Macaca fascicularis: one gene and its partners. The protein of the gene in region 3 interacts with the protein of the main gene of each other region in a biochemical or structural test. Links are inferred from orthologs where the notes say so. Each region holds a gene or a part of one and is shown on either strand. Other genes may lie near its edges.

Evidence for each region.
Region 1: the proteins of HSPB1 (region 3) and CS form a complex in vitro, tested with the Homo sapiens proteins (2 studies listed by BioGRID). The link is inferred for Macaca fascicularis from reciprocal best matches to the Homo sapiens genes HSPB1 and CS.
Region 2: of the proteins of HSPB1 (region 3) and MAPKAPK3, one has a biochemical effect on the other in vitro, tested with the Homo sapiens proteins (2 studies listed by BioGRID and IntAct). The link is inferred for Macaca fascicularis from reciprocal best matches to the Homo sapiens genes HSPB1 and MAPKAPK3.

What each region holds. Positions count from the first base shown.
Region 1 is NC_088385.1:63,071,749-63,075,395, reverse strand, and holds part of CS (citrate synthase, mitochondrial), read left to right. Parts: intron 1-434; coding exon 435-564; intron 565-688; coding exon 689-790; intron 791-1,774; coding exon 1,775-1,984; intron 1,985-2,318; coding exon 2,319-2,489; 3' UTR 2,490-3,647. UniProt on the Homo sapiens protein: Key enzyme of the Krebs tricarboxylic acid cycle which catalyzes the synthesis of citrate from acetyl coenzyme A and oxaloacetate.
Region 2 is NC_088376.1:113,680,519-113,684,165, reverse strand, and holds part of MAPKAPK3 (MAP kinase-activated protein kinase 3), read right to left. Parts: intron 2,659-3,647; coding exon 2,583-2,658; intron 2,229-2,582; coding exon 2,104-2,228; intron 1,628-2,103; coding exon 1,542-1,627; intron 1,245-1,541; coding exon 1,164-1,244; intron 469-1,163; coding exon 316-468; 3' UTR 1-315. UniProt on the Homo sapiens protein: Stress-activated serine/threonine-protein kinase involved in cytokines production, endocytosis, cell migration, chromatin remodeling and transcriptional regulation.
Region 3 is NC_088377.1:51,430,690-51,434,123, forward strand, and holds HSPB1 (heat shock protein beta-1), read right to left. Parts: upstream 2,229-3,434; 5' UTR 2,189-2,228; coding exon 1,825-2,188; intron 1,121-1,824; coding exon 1,057-1,120; intron 939-1,056; coding exon 749-938; 3' UTR 626-748; downstream 1-625. UniProt on the Homo sapiens protein: Small heat shock protein which functions as a molecular chaperone probably maintaining denatured proteins in a folding-competent state. Plays a role in stress resistance and actin organization.

The DNA of each region.
Region 1 (3,647 bases), on a different chromosome or scaffold from region 3:
GGAATCTTGCTCTGTCGCCAGGTTGGAGTGCAGTGGCGCAATCTTGGCTCACTGCAACCTCCACTTCCAGGTTCAAGTGATTCTCCTGCCTCAGCCTCCCAAGTAGCTGGGACTACAGGTGTGTGCCATGATGCCCAGCTAATTTTTGTATTTTTAGCAGAGATGGGGTTTCACCATGTTGGCCAGGATGGTCTTGATCTCTTGAACTCTTGATCTGCCCGCCTCGGCCTCCCAAAGTGCTAAGATTATAGGCGTGGGCCACCGCACCTGGCCAAGATTAGGATGTCTTTTATAAGAGCTTAGGTGTAACTGACTGGCTATAGGCTGGCATGAGCCCGTAACTAGGCTAGTAAGTGGCAAATAAGAGAACAGCAAGGTTTCCATAATCTGCCCCTTCTTTCTCCCCTTGGCTCTCCCTTCTTACTTCCCCACAGTGACCATGAGGGTGGCAATGTAAGTGCCCATACCAGCCACTTGGTGGGCAGTGCCCTTTCAGACCCTTACCTGTCCTTTGCAGCAGCCATGAACGGGCTGGCAGGGCCTCTCCATGGACTGGCAAATCAGGTAAGACTATTCTTTTTTATTTTCCTGCTACATGTTTTCCTTACCCCATGCTTTGTTTCTGATCTTGGCATTGTCTCCTGGCATATGTATTAACATGCCCTTTTTCCCCAAACCTTACCCATAGGAAGTGCTTGTCTGGCTAACACAGCTGCAGAAGGAAGTTGGCAAAGATGTGTCAGATGAGAAGTTACGAGACTACATCTGGAACACACTCAACTCGGGACGGGTAAGCAGAGATGCTTAATGACTAGGAAAGAAACCAAGACCCAAGTTCTGCAATTTGGAAGAATTAAGAAGAAAAGAATGAAAGAGGTCCCTAAATTAGAGATTTTTTTTTTTTTTCATTTATCTACCTTGAAGAATTTAGAACAGAATTTCTAGTTGGGCACAATGGCATGCACCGGTAGTCCCGCCTACTTGGGAGGCCGAGGCAAGAGGATTGCTTGAGGCCAGGAGTTCAAGTCTGAAGTGTGCCAAGATCACTCCTGTGAATAGCCACTGCACTCCAGCCAGGACAACATAGCAAGACCCTGTCTCTAAAAAAAGATTTTAAATAGGTCGAGTGTGGTGGCTCACGCTTATAATCTCAGCACTTTGGGAGTCCAGGGTGGGTGAATCGCTTGAGCCCAGGAGTTTGAGACCAGCCTGAGCAACATAGACCCTAATCTTTTTTTTTTTTTTTTTTTAAAGACAGAGTCTCGCTCTTGTTGTCCAGGCTAGAGTGCAGTGGTGCAACCTTGGCTCACTGCAACCTCCGCCTCTCGGGTTCAAGCGATTCTCCTGCCTCACCCTCTCGTAGCTGGGATTACAGGCATGCACCACCATGCCCAGCTAATTTTGTATTTTTAGTAGAGACGGGGTTTCTCCGAGTTGGTCAGTTGGTCAGGCTAGTCTCGAACTCCCAACCTCAGGTCATCCGCCCACCTCAGCCTCCCAAAGTGCTAGGATTACAGGCGTGAGCCACCGCACCTGGCCAGACCCCATCTTTACCAAAAAAAAAAAAAAAGCCAGGTGTGTTGGTGTGCACCTGCGGTCCCAGCTACTCTGGAGGCTGAAGTGGGAGGATTGCCTGAGCATGGGAGGTCGAGGCTGTCATGAGATGTGATCATGCCATTGCACTTCAGCCTGGGTGACAGAGGAGTGAGATCCTGTCTCAAAAAATAAAAGAATTTCTACTGAGAATACTATCTTTTTTCCCCACTCTTTACAGGTTGTTCCAGGCTATGGCCATGCGGTACTGAGGAAGACTGATCCACGATATACCTGTCAGCGAGAGTTTGCTCTGAAACACCTGCCTAATGACCCCATGTTTAAGTTGGTTGCTCAGCTATACAAGATTGTGCCCAATGTCCTCTTAGAGCAGGGTAAAGCCAAGAATCCTTGGCCCAATGTAGATGCTCACAGTGGGGTGCTGCTCCAGGTAAGTCCTCCTTTCCCTCTTTTCCCTCTAATTTGTACCAAACCCTATTGTTATCTGTCATGAACAAAGTCAGTTAACTCCTAGTCAGAGCAAGGACTTCCTTCACAGAGCATTTTGATAAAGTTGACTATGACAGGGTTGAGGGTTGGGGTTGCTCTGTTTTCAGAATCCCAATTGCTATACTTTTCTCAGTGTCATTTCTATTTAAGGTTGACTGGGCTAAGTCCTTGGAGAAAAACAGAAAATTGAGCTTTTAAGGTTTCTATCACCCAGGACTTGTACATGCCACTGTCTCTGCCTCTGCCTTAAACCCTTTTTCTCTTCTACCTTACAGTATTATGGCATGACGGAGATGAATTACTACACGGTCCTGTTTGGGGTGTCACGAGCATTGGGTGTACTGGCACAGCTCATCTGGAGCCGAGCCTTAGGCTTCCCTCTAGAAAGGCCCAAGTCCATGAGTACAGAGGGTCTGATGAAGTTTGTGGACTCTAAGTCAGGGTAAAACTGGAGACTGGGGGAAAGTGACTACCAGAAAGTGAGGAAGCCTAAATAAAAAGTATACTTTTGTTTCAGGGGGCCTTTAAAGACATAAGATTAAATTATATCTGAGGCACTGATAATATGTTTGAGGTTAAAATATAAATTAAGACTTTAAAAGATGAAAAATGATCCCTTCTTCCCTAATCAGCTCCCTTCCCCTGCCTGGTATGAGTTGCCCATCACAGGGGTGGTCCTGGAGGATGACGGGGACTAATGCCTGTGGTATGAGTAGGTTTGGCCCCCTCACTATCTCTAGAGTGAGAATCTGCCTCCTGTTTCCATGGGTCAAAGCCAGTTGCAGAGAACCTGCAGTCACTTCGGAGCTTTAGCTTCTTCTCTGCCAAGCCCTCAATAAGCCAGCAAACCAGGACTCTGCCCCTTCTGTTTCCATAGGAATCGTGTTGGATAGTCAGCTGTACCAAGCCCCTTGGCACTCTCCCATACACACAAACACTTTCTAGCAAGACCTGTTGGTTAGCTGGACGTGCTTTGGCAATTTTTTTATACTATCAAGTGACCATAAAGGCATGGCATTTGTTGTGACTGGCACCCAATGTTTGATTTCTTTTTTAAAAAACTATCCAATTAAGGTCTGGGAGTGTTCTGTTTCCCATTACTTTAATACTCACCTCCTCCTCCCAGACTTTCTACACCTGTTGCACCTCAGGCTGAGGATGTTCTGGACCACCCCTCTTGGTCCCTGCTAGAGACCTCTCAGATCTGTGGGCCCAGTCATTGGGTTTTATCAGTGCTTAATGTGAACTAAGTTTTTTACTTCCATAGAATACAAGCCACTATCCTCTGATCTCCCCACCCGCCACCAACCCCTGTCTTTTAACATGCTGTGGGGCATAGAACAGGGACTCAGGAATGACCAGCATGATATTTTCAGGGTCTTGTCCCTAGGGTAATAGCACCTCTTTTTGAACAGATAATTGATTCAAGATTGGACATGGTCTCCTCTGATTATCAGGTACTGGGGCTGAGGGCATTAAAAATAGTAAACCTCCCTCCTCGTCCCCTGCCTCAAGAAAATGCCTCCTTATTTATCAATATCCTTTTCCTCCCTTTCCCTGAGAGCTCACAGTACAATGTTTGTTTTAGAAGCCCCATTTGCACA
Region 2 (3,647 bases), on a different chromosome or scaffold from region 3:
AAAGCTAAGGCCATGGACCAGGGCAGGACAGCACAGAGGCCTCACTCAGGCCATCCTGGCTAAAGGTGCTGCTATGGCAGCAGGCAGCTCCCAGCCCCTAGGCCCTGCCCGTCTCTAGGGCTTGAGCCTGGGCCAGAGATCTGAAGGAGGTTTAGGGTCAGGGTCCTCCATCCTGAAGTTCCAAGTGACAAATTAAAACACAACAAAATAATCCTTTTGTTAAAAGAATGACCCTGGGCCCTCCTGGCCAGGGCCTCAGCACATTCCAGTCTGTCATGCAGGCTGAGAGGCCAGGCTCCTCCAAGGTCCCATGAGCTACTGGTTGTTGCAGCCCTGAGAGGCAGAGGAGCTGCCTGCCTGCTTTTTTCTCCTCTTGTTGAGGAGCCGGTTGTTAGAGGTCTTCAGGTCCTTGATCTTCACCTGATCGTAGTCCACCCGCATAGTGGCTAAGGCACTGGTCATCTCCTCCTGGGGACAGACAGGATGGGGGGCACTAAGAGGTCAGGATGTACTGACGTTAGGAACTATCACCCCCTGCCTGGGCAGCCCCTTAACAGTGTCAGTGACAGCCTGTGCTGCTTCTGTGCCCACTGTGTGCCCAGCACTGGGCCAAGCCCTTTGCATCACATGAGGGACCGCACTACAGTCCTCAGTGGCAGACACTGAGCTTCTTCACAAAGGCACAAAAGGAGAGTTATTCCCTGGGACCACACCAAGGGTAAGTGGGATAGTGAACTAAACCACTTCCACCACAGAACCACAAGACCTTCAGAGAATGCCATCTCGCTGGGCAACCAGCACACTGGGGCGTGGAGTTTGTGCCACTGGAGCTGCTACCCCATATATTCAAATGTGGCCTCTGCTGGGTCTAAACCAGGCTGACCACCCTCCCAAATGTTGTTGGTTATAAGAGAGGTCATCATTCAAGCTTGGTACCAAAGCCCTGTTTCATTGAGAAAGTACACCAGGAGCACCACACTGAATGGGGTAGTGAGGCCCAATCCTTGGAGTGCCATGGTTGGACCACTGTGACAGTCACTGACATCCTGTCCTCCAGGCATAGAAAGGGGCCAAAGACCCCAGACTCTGGGTAGCCACCCCCCTGAAGTCCCTTTTGCCCAAATCCTGGCACCTGTAGTGAGACTGAGGCAGAGCCCACCCACCTTGACTTCGTCCCAGTGGTCTTTGTCTTCCTGCAGCACTCGGGCCGTGTGGAGTGGGGTCTGTGGCACCACCATCGATTGCTGGAAGGAGCCCCATGCCCATGGATTAGAAACTGGAGGCACCTGGGACAGCACTGGTTCCCCCAACTCCATCCCCTTCTCCGAGTCTCAGATGGGAAAACTAAGGCTTGGGGTGCGGAAGGACCCTCAATGGGGCAGTGGCAAAGCCAGGTTGTAGGTGAGGCCCTACTATCTACCTGTGCGCATGGGCCCATTCCAGCCCTGTACTGGGGCCTCAAAGCAGAGCCACCACCCTCCTGCCCGGCAGTCCCACTCCGGCTGGACACCCTGCCTGCCATGGGAGGAGGAGGGGCTCACGTTGATCCAGGGGTGGTTCATAAACTGAGTGATGGTCAGCCTCTCTGTGGGGTCCGTCTTCAACAGGAGGCGGATCAGCTGCTTGGCTAGGGAGGCCAGGGAAGAGAGGGGAGAGGTGAGGTTGCAGAGTTCCTCAGAGCCAGCCCCTCCACCCTTCCCCATAGACCACAAGCTCTGCTGAGGCAGGGGCTGCATGTGCTCCCAAATTCCCAACCCACAGAAAGAGTGAGCTAACAACTATTTCTTGTTTTGAAGCACTAAGTGTCCAGGATAACTGGTTAAGCAGCAGTAGATAACTCATACAGGGCAGCCTTGTTTGTGGTCCTCAGAAGGGAAAATATGAATGAGGAATAGGAGTTAGAGGGAGTTTTGAGGAAGCAAGTTTTGAGCCTGTTTGACAGATGTAGAAACTGAGGCTCAAGAAGGTTAGGGGACTTGCCTAGGATCCCATAGCTGGGAAGAGGGGGAGCCAAGATTTGAACACAGGTCAGTTTGACACCAAAGTGATGTTTCCCAGAATGAAAGCTGCAGGGGCCAGGCTGGGACAGAGAGGTTCACTCACCATCCTCAGAGACCTCTGACCACTCAGGATTGGGGAAGCCATACTGGCCCAGGCGGATCCTTCTCTTCATCCCTGGGGAGATGGCCTGGCCCGTGTTGGAGTAGAAGGGTGGGAAGCCACAAAGGCTGGGGGAAGGGGTAAGTCATTTGGCATAGGGTGGGACCAGTGCCAGGGTAGACCCATTTCCCCTCAAAAGTCCCTGACTGGGGAGACAGGCAACCAGACACCATGGCAATAATACCAGCCCTCCAGACTCCCAGGCATATCCCAGGAATGCCATCAGCCCTTGGCATGGGGAGACCCTCAGGCACCTGAAGGAGTGGTGTCCCATGACCAAAAGGGAAGGGCAGCCTGCATGAGGAGTGACACACACAAGCCCCTCACCAAGGACATGGGGGTAGGGGGACAGAAGTGGTCCTGAGGGCTCACAGTGGGGGTGAGGACAGAAGATGGAGGCAGGAGGTGGGGAAGGTACTCACAGGATGTACATGATGACACCCAGGGACCACATGTCACATGACTTGTCATACTTCTCTGGACCCAGGACCTCAGGGGCTGCCAGGGCAGAGGGACATCAGGGCTCTCAGACCCAAGGGTCTTAGAGCCCAGGCAGAAGCCTGAAGCCTGGGCGAGGTGGGGAGCAGGTACCTGGGCTGGGAGGTAGGGCAGAGCAGACTGGCGTCTGGCACCTTTTGGAAAGGCAGCACGTGTGTGAAGCTGGGGGAGGAGAAAGCTCCCGGAAAAAAATCAACCACTTTCAGACATACCCCTAGCTCCCTTGGGCCTGGGCCCCTCTGCCAGTCTCAACCTTGGTGAAATAAGAGAAGGCCAGTCTGGGGCTTGGTGGGAAACTGCCGTAGGTGAGAGGGTCTTGGCCTGCCAGCTGTCCTGTGTCCCTTGCCTCCCAGAATGCACAGCCTAGGTCACAGGCAAGGAGGAACCAGGGGCAAGGCTCTGCATTCCATCATCAGCTTGGCTACCAATCCATGGGGCCTGTCTTCCCTGTGCAATGAGGTGGGTAGGCTAGAAGATTTCTAAGTTAAAATACTGCAAAACACATCCTAGTTAACAGAGTGCCATTTCAACTATCTCAGGGAGCTTCCCACCCCTTCAGCAGCCCTCCAGGAAGACCTCTTCTGAGGAAGAAAAGCCCTCTGTCATCAGCCCACTCTCAGGTTAGGGGGCAGTTTTGGCGAGGAGCATTTTCAGATCTGGGGGTTGCCCACTTGCAGAAGGGCAAGGAACTTTTCCAGGAAACATGAGTATGTGCACACCTCCAAGCCCTGGCTTTAGTGACTCTCTCCCACAAGGCAGGTGACTGGTACCCTTTGTCCCTCCAGGTTAGGAGGAAATGCCTGCCCGCTTTCTGAATATGAATCCCAGGAAGACAAAAACTAGAGAAAAACAACCGCGGTTGGGCTCCGTCCCGAGCTGATGGCAGCCTTTTATCACATATATATTTAGAGCTGCTGTGATGTCATTCAGCTCACAGGCCACAGCCAGAATTTTCCTGGATCTATTTTCAAAAGCAGAAGCTGAAGTTT
Region 3 (3,434 bases):
AACTCAAGCCTCAGGTGCTTCTCCTAGTTCCTCCTCCTTCCCGACTTTACAGCTTTAATTGCAATCATAACCTTGCAATCATGACCTTTTTTTTTTTTTTTTTTTTTTTTTTTTTTTTTTTTTTAAAGACAGGGTCTCACTCTTTCTGAGCTTTTGATTGTTTTGTTTTTTTGAAACAGGATCTTGCTCTGTTGTCCAGGCTGGAGTGCAATGGCACGATCTTAGCTCACTGCACCCTTCAACTCCTGGGCTCAAGCGATCCTCCTGCCTCAGCCTCCTGAGTAGCTGGGACTACAGGCATGCAGTAACACCCTGGCTAATTTTTATTTTTTAGAGACAGAGTCTCACTACATTGTCCAGACTGGTCTAGAATTCTTGACTTCAAGCACTTCTCCTGCCTCAACCCCCCAAAGGGCTGGGATTACAGGTATGAGCCACTGCGCCCGGCCCTACGACCTCTCTTTATGTGAGTCAGCCCGTGTCCAGCAACCTACATCAGTGTACCAACATGGCCCAGCACGGGGCTGGGCACACAGTACACCCTGAGTAAAGGTGACTTGTGGAAGCCAGCAAATGGCAGGTGCCTGAGGCTTCCTTCCACAAATACCAGGGTCTGAGCCAGTGACAGGTGGGTTACTTGGAACTTTATTTGAGAAAAACAAGATAAACGTATCAAAAGAACACACAGGTTGAGGGTGGGGGGGCGCAGCCAGTGGCGGCAGCAGGGGTGGGCATCCGGGCTAAGGCTTTACTTGGCGGCAGTCTCGTCAGATTTTGCAGCTTCTGGGCCCCCAAGCTGGGCCCGCGACTCGAAAGTGACCGGGATGGTGATCTCGTTGGACTGTGTGGCTAGCTTGGGCATGGGGGCTTCCACGGTCAGTGTGCCCTCAGGGGACAGGGAGGAGGAGACCTGGGTGGGGTCCACACCGGGGGGCAGCCTGGACGTGCAGAGAGAGAAGGCGAGCGTTACATTACACACTGGGTGGGTCCCTGTGCCCTCCTCCCTGACCCCCGCCCCCCGCCCCCCACCCACCCCGATCTGGCGCCAGGACTCACGTGTATTTCCGCGTGAAGCACCGGGAGATGTAGCCATGCTCGTCCTGCCGCTCCTCGTGCTTGCCTTTTGGGGAAAGAGGGAAATCAGACTATGGGGGAGGGGACCGCCTCTCGGCCCCGCCAGGCCAGAGGCCCCACCTCCTGCTTGGAAGCAGCTAGGACTGCAGGCCGGCAGGGATTAACGGAGGGGGTTGGGGGTGGGGGCGTGCCCGCCTGTCCGGGTTCTCAGAAACTTCCGGAAAGTTCCTCGATTCAGAGTTTTGGGAGGAATGGAGCAGGGCGCCGAGCTGGGGAGTGAGCAGTGCCCAGGCGCACTTGGAGCCGCACGCACGCCCTCTCCGCGGCTAGAAACAGGGAACCCGCTTATCTGGGGATGGGGTTGTGGGTGGGGAGGGGGCTCTGTGGAAAGGTGCATTTTCTCTCTTCATTGATGGTCTTTTAAAAAATTTTTTTGGTTGCTTTTTAATTTTTTTGTAGTGTTGGGGGGCGTCTCGCTATGTTGCCCGGGCTAGTCTTGAACTCCTGGCCTCAAGCCATCCTCCCGTCTCGGCCTTCCAAAGCGCTGGGATTACAGAGCACAAAGCGCCCTTAGAAGCGACCTGCACTCCCAATTCCTGAGCAGAGGAATCAGGGATCCTGTTTTTCCCGGTGCTGGGCTAACATTTAACTCCCCAGGCCCCCGGGACCCCCGTTTCAACCGCACCCCTCCCCCGGCCCTGCCCGCCCCGCTAGCCTCCTCCCCTCCTCTGCAGGACCAGGGGGACTCACCGGTGATCTCCACCACGCCATCCTTGGTCTTAACCGTTAGCTCGTCCGGGGCGAAGTGGTTGACATCCAGGGACACGCGCCAGCGGTCCGCCGTGTGCCGGATCTCCGAGACCCCGCTGCTGAGCTGCCGGCTGAGCGCGCGGCTGTAGGCGGGCGCGGCCACCGCGGGGCTCTCGATCGCGGCGGGGGGCAGGGGGCGCACGTAGCCTGGCCAGCTGCTGCCGCCCAACCACTGCGACCACTCCTCGGGCAGCCGGGGCAGCCCGAAGGCCTGGTCGAAGAGGCGGCTGTGCGGGTACCAGTCGCGGAAGGGATCCCAGCTGGGGCCCCGCAGGAGCGAGAAGGGGACGCGGCGCTCGGTCATGCTGGCTGACTCTGCTCTGGACGTCTGCTCGGAGAAGTGCGGGGCGCTGGGCCCGGCTGCGCTTTTATGCGGTTCCAGTCGGGTATTTTTAGCAGGCGGTGTTTGAGGTCTCTATTAATGGCAATGACCCGTTTGAGGGCCGCCCCTCCCCATGCACTCCTCCCCTAGCGTTCAGGGGCCGTGGGCGGGGCGAAGAGGGTTCTGCCCTCATCTGGAACCTTCTCTCGTTAAGGAAAACAAATGAGTTCGAGAGCTCGAAGCTGGAGCCGTGCCACGGCAGGGCACTCGCCGGCCCTGGTGCTTAAGAGCTGCCGACTGTGACCCGTGGCCAGGGCCGTTCTTTTGTTAAGGAGGACAGAGCCAGGCAGGTTGGGTTGGGGCATACAACTGAGAAGTGGCAGCGGCAGGATTGGAATCACAAGCGTGTGAGATGGAATGTGATATAAAGCAGGCTGGTGCTTGAGCCCAGGAGTTCGAGGCTGCAGTGCGTTATGATCTTACCACTGCACTCTAGCCTAGGCAACAGAGCAAGGACCTGTTAAAAAAATTTTTAAAAAGGGGCCGGGTGCGTGGCTCATGCCTGTAATCTCAGCACTTTGGGAGGCCAAGGCAGAAGGGTCCCCTGAGGCCAGGAGTTTGAGACCATTCTGGGCAACATAGTGAGACCCTACCTCTACCAAAATTTTTTTTAAAATTAGCTGGGCATGGTGTGCACGCCTGTGGCCTCAGCTACTCTGGAGGCTGAGGCAGCAGGCTCCTTTGAACGCTGGTGAGCTCCTTTGAACGCTGGTGAGTAGAGGCTTTGGTGAACCTGGATTGCACCACTGCACTTCAGCATGGGCTGCAGAGCAAAACCCTGTCTCAAAATAAGTAAATGAATAAATACAAATACAAAGATAAAGCAGTCTGGGCTGGGTGTGGTGGCTCACCCCTGTAATCCCAGCACTTTGGGAGGCTGAGGTGGGAGGATCACCAGAGGTCAGGAGTTTGGGACCAGCCTGGCCAACATGGTGAAACCTCATCTCTACTAAAATTACAAAAATTAGCTGGGTGTGGTGGCGGGCGCCTGTAATCGCAGCTGCTGGGGAGGCTGAGGCAGGAGAATTGCTTGAACCCCGAAGGCAGAGGTTGCGGTGAACTGAGATCTCACCACTGCACTCCAGCCTGGGCGGCAGAGCGAGACTCCATCTCAAAAAAAAAAAAAAAAAACAATCTGGTAATCTGGTACGGTTGTTAGGAGTGTGGA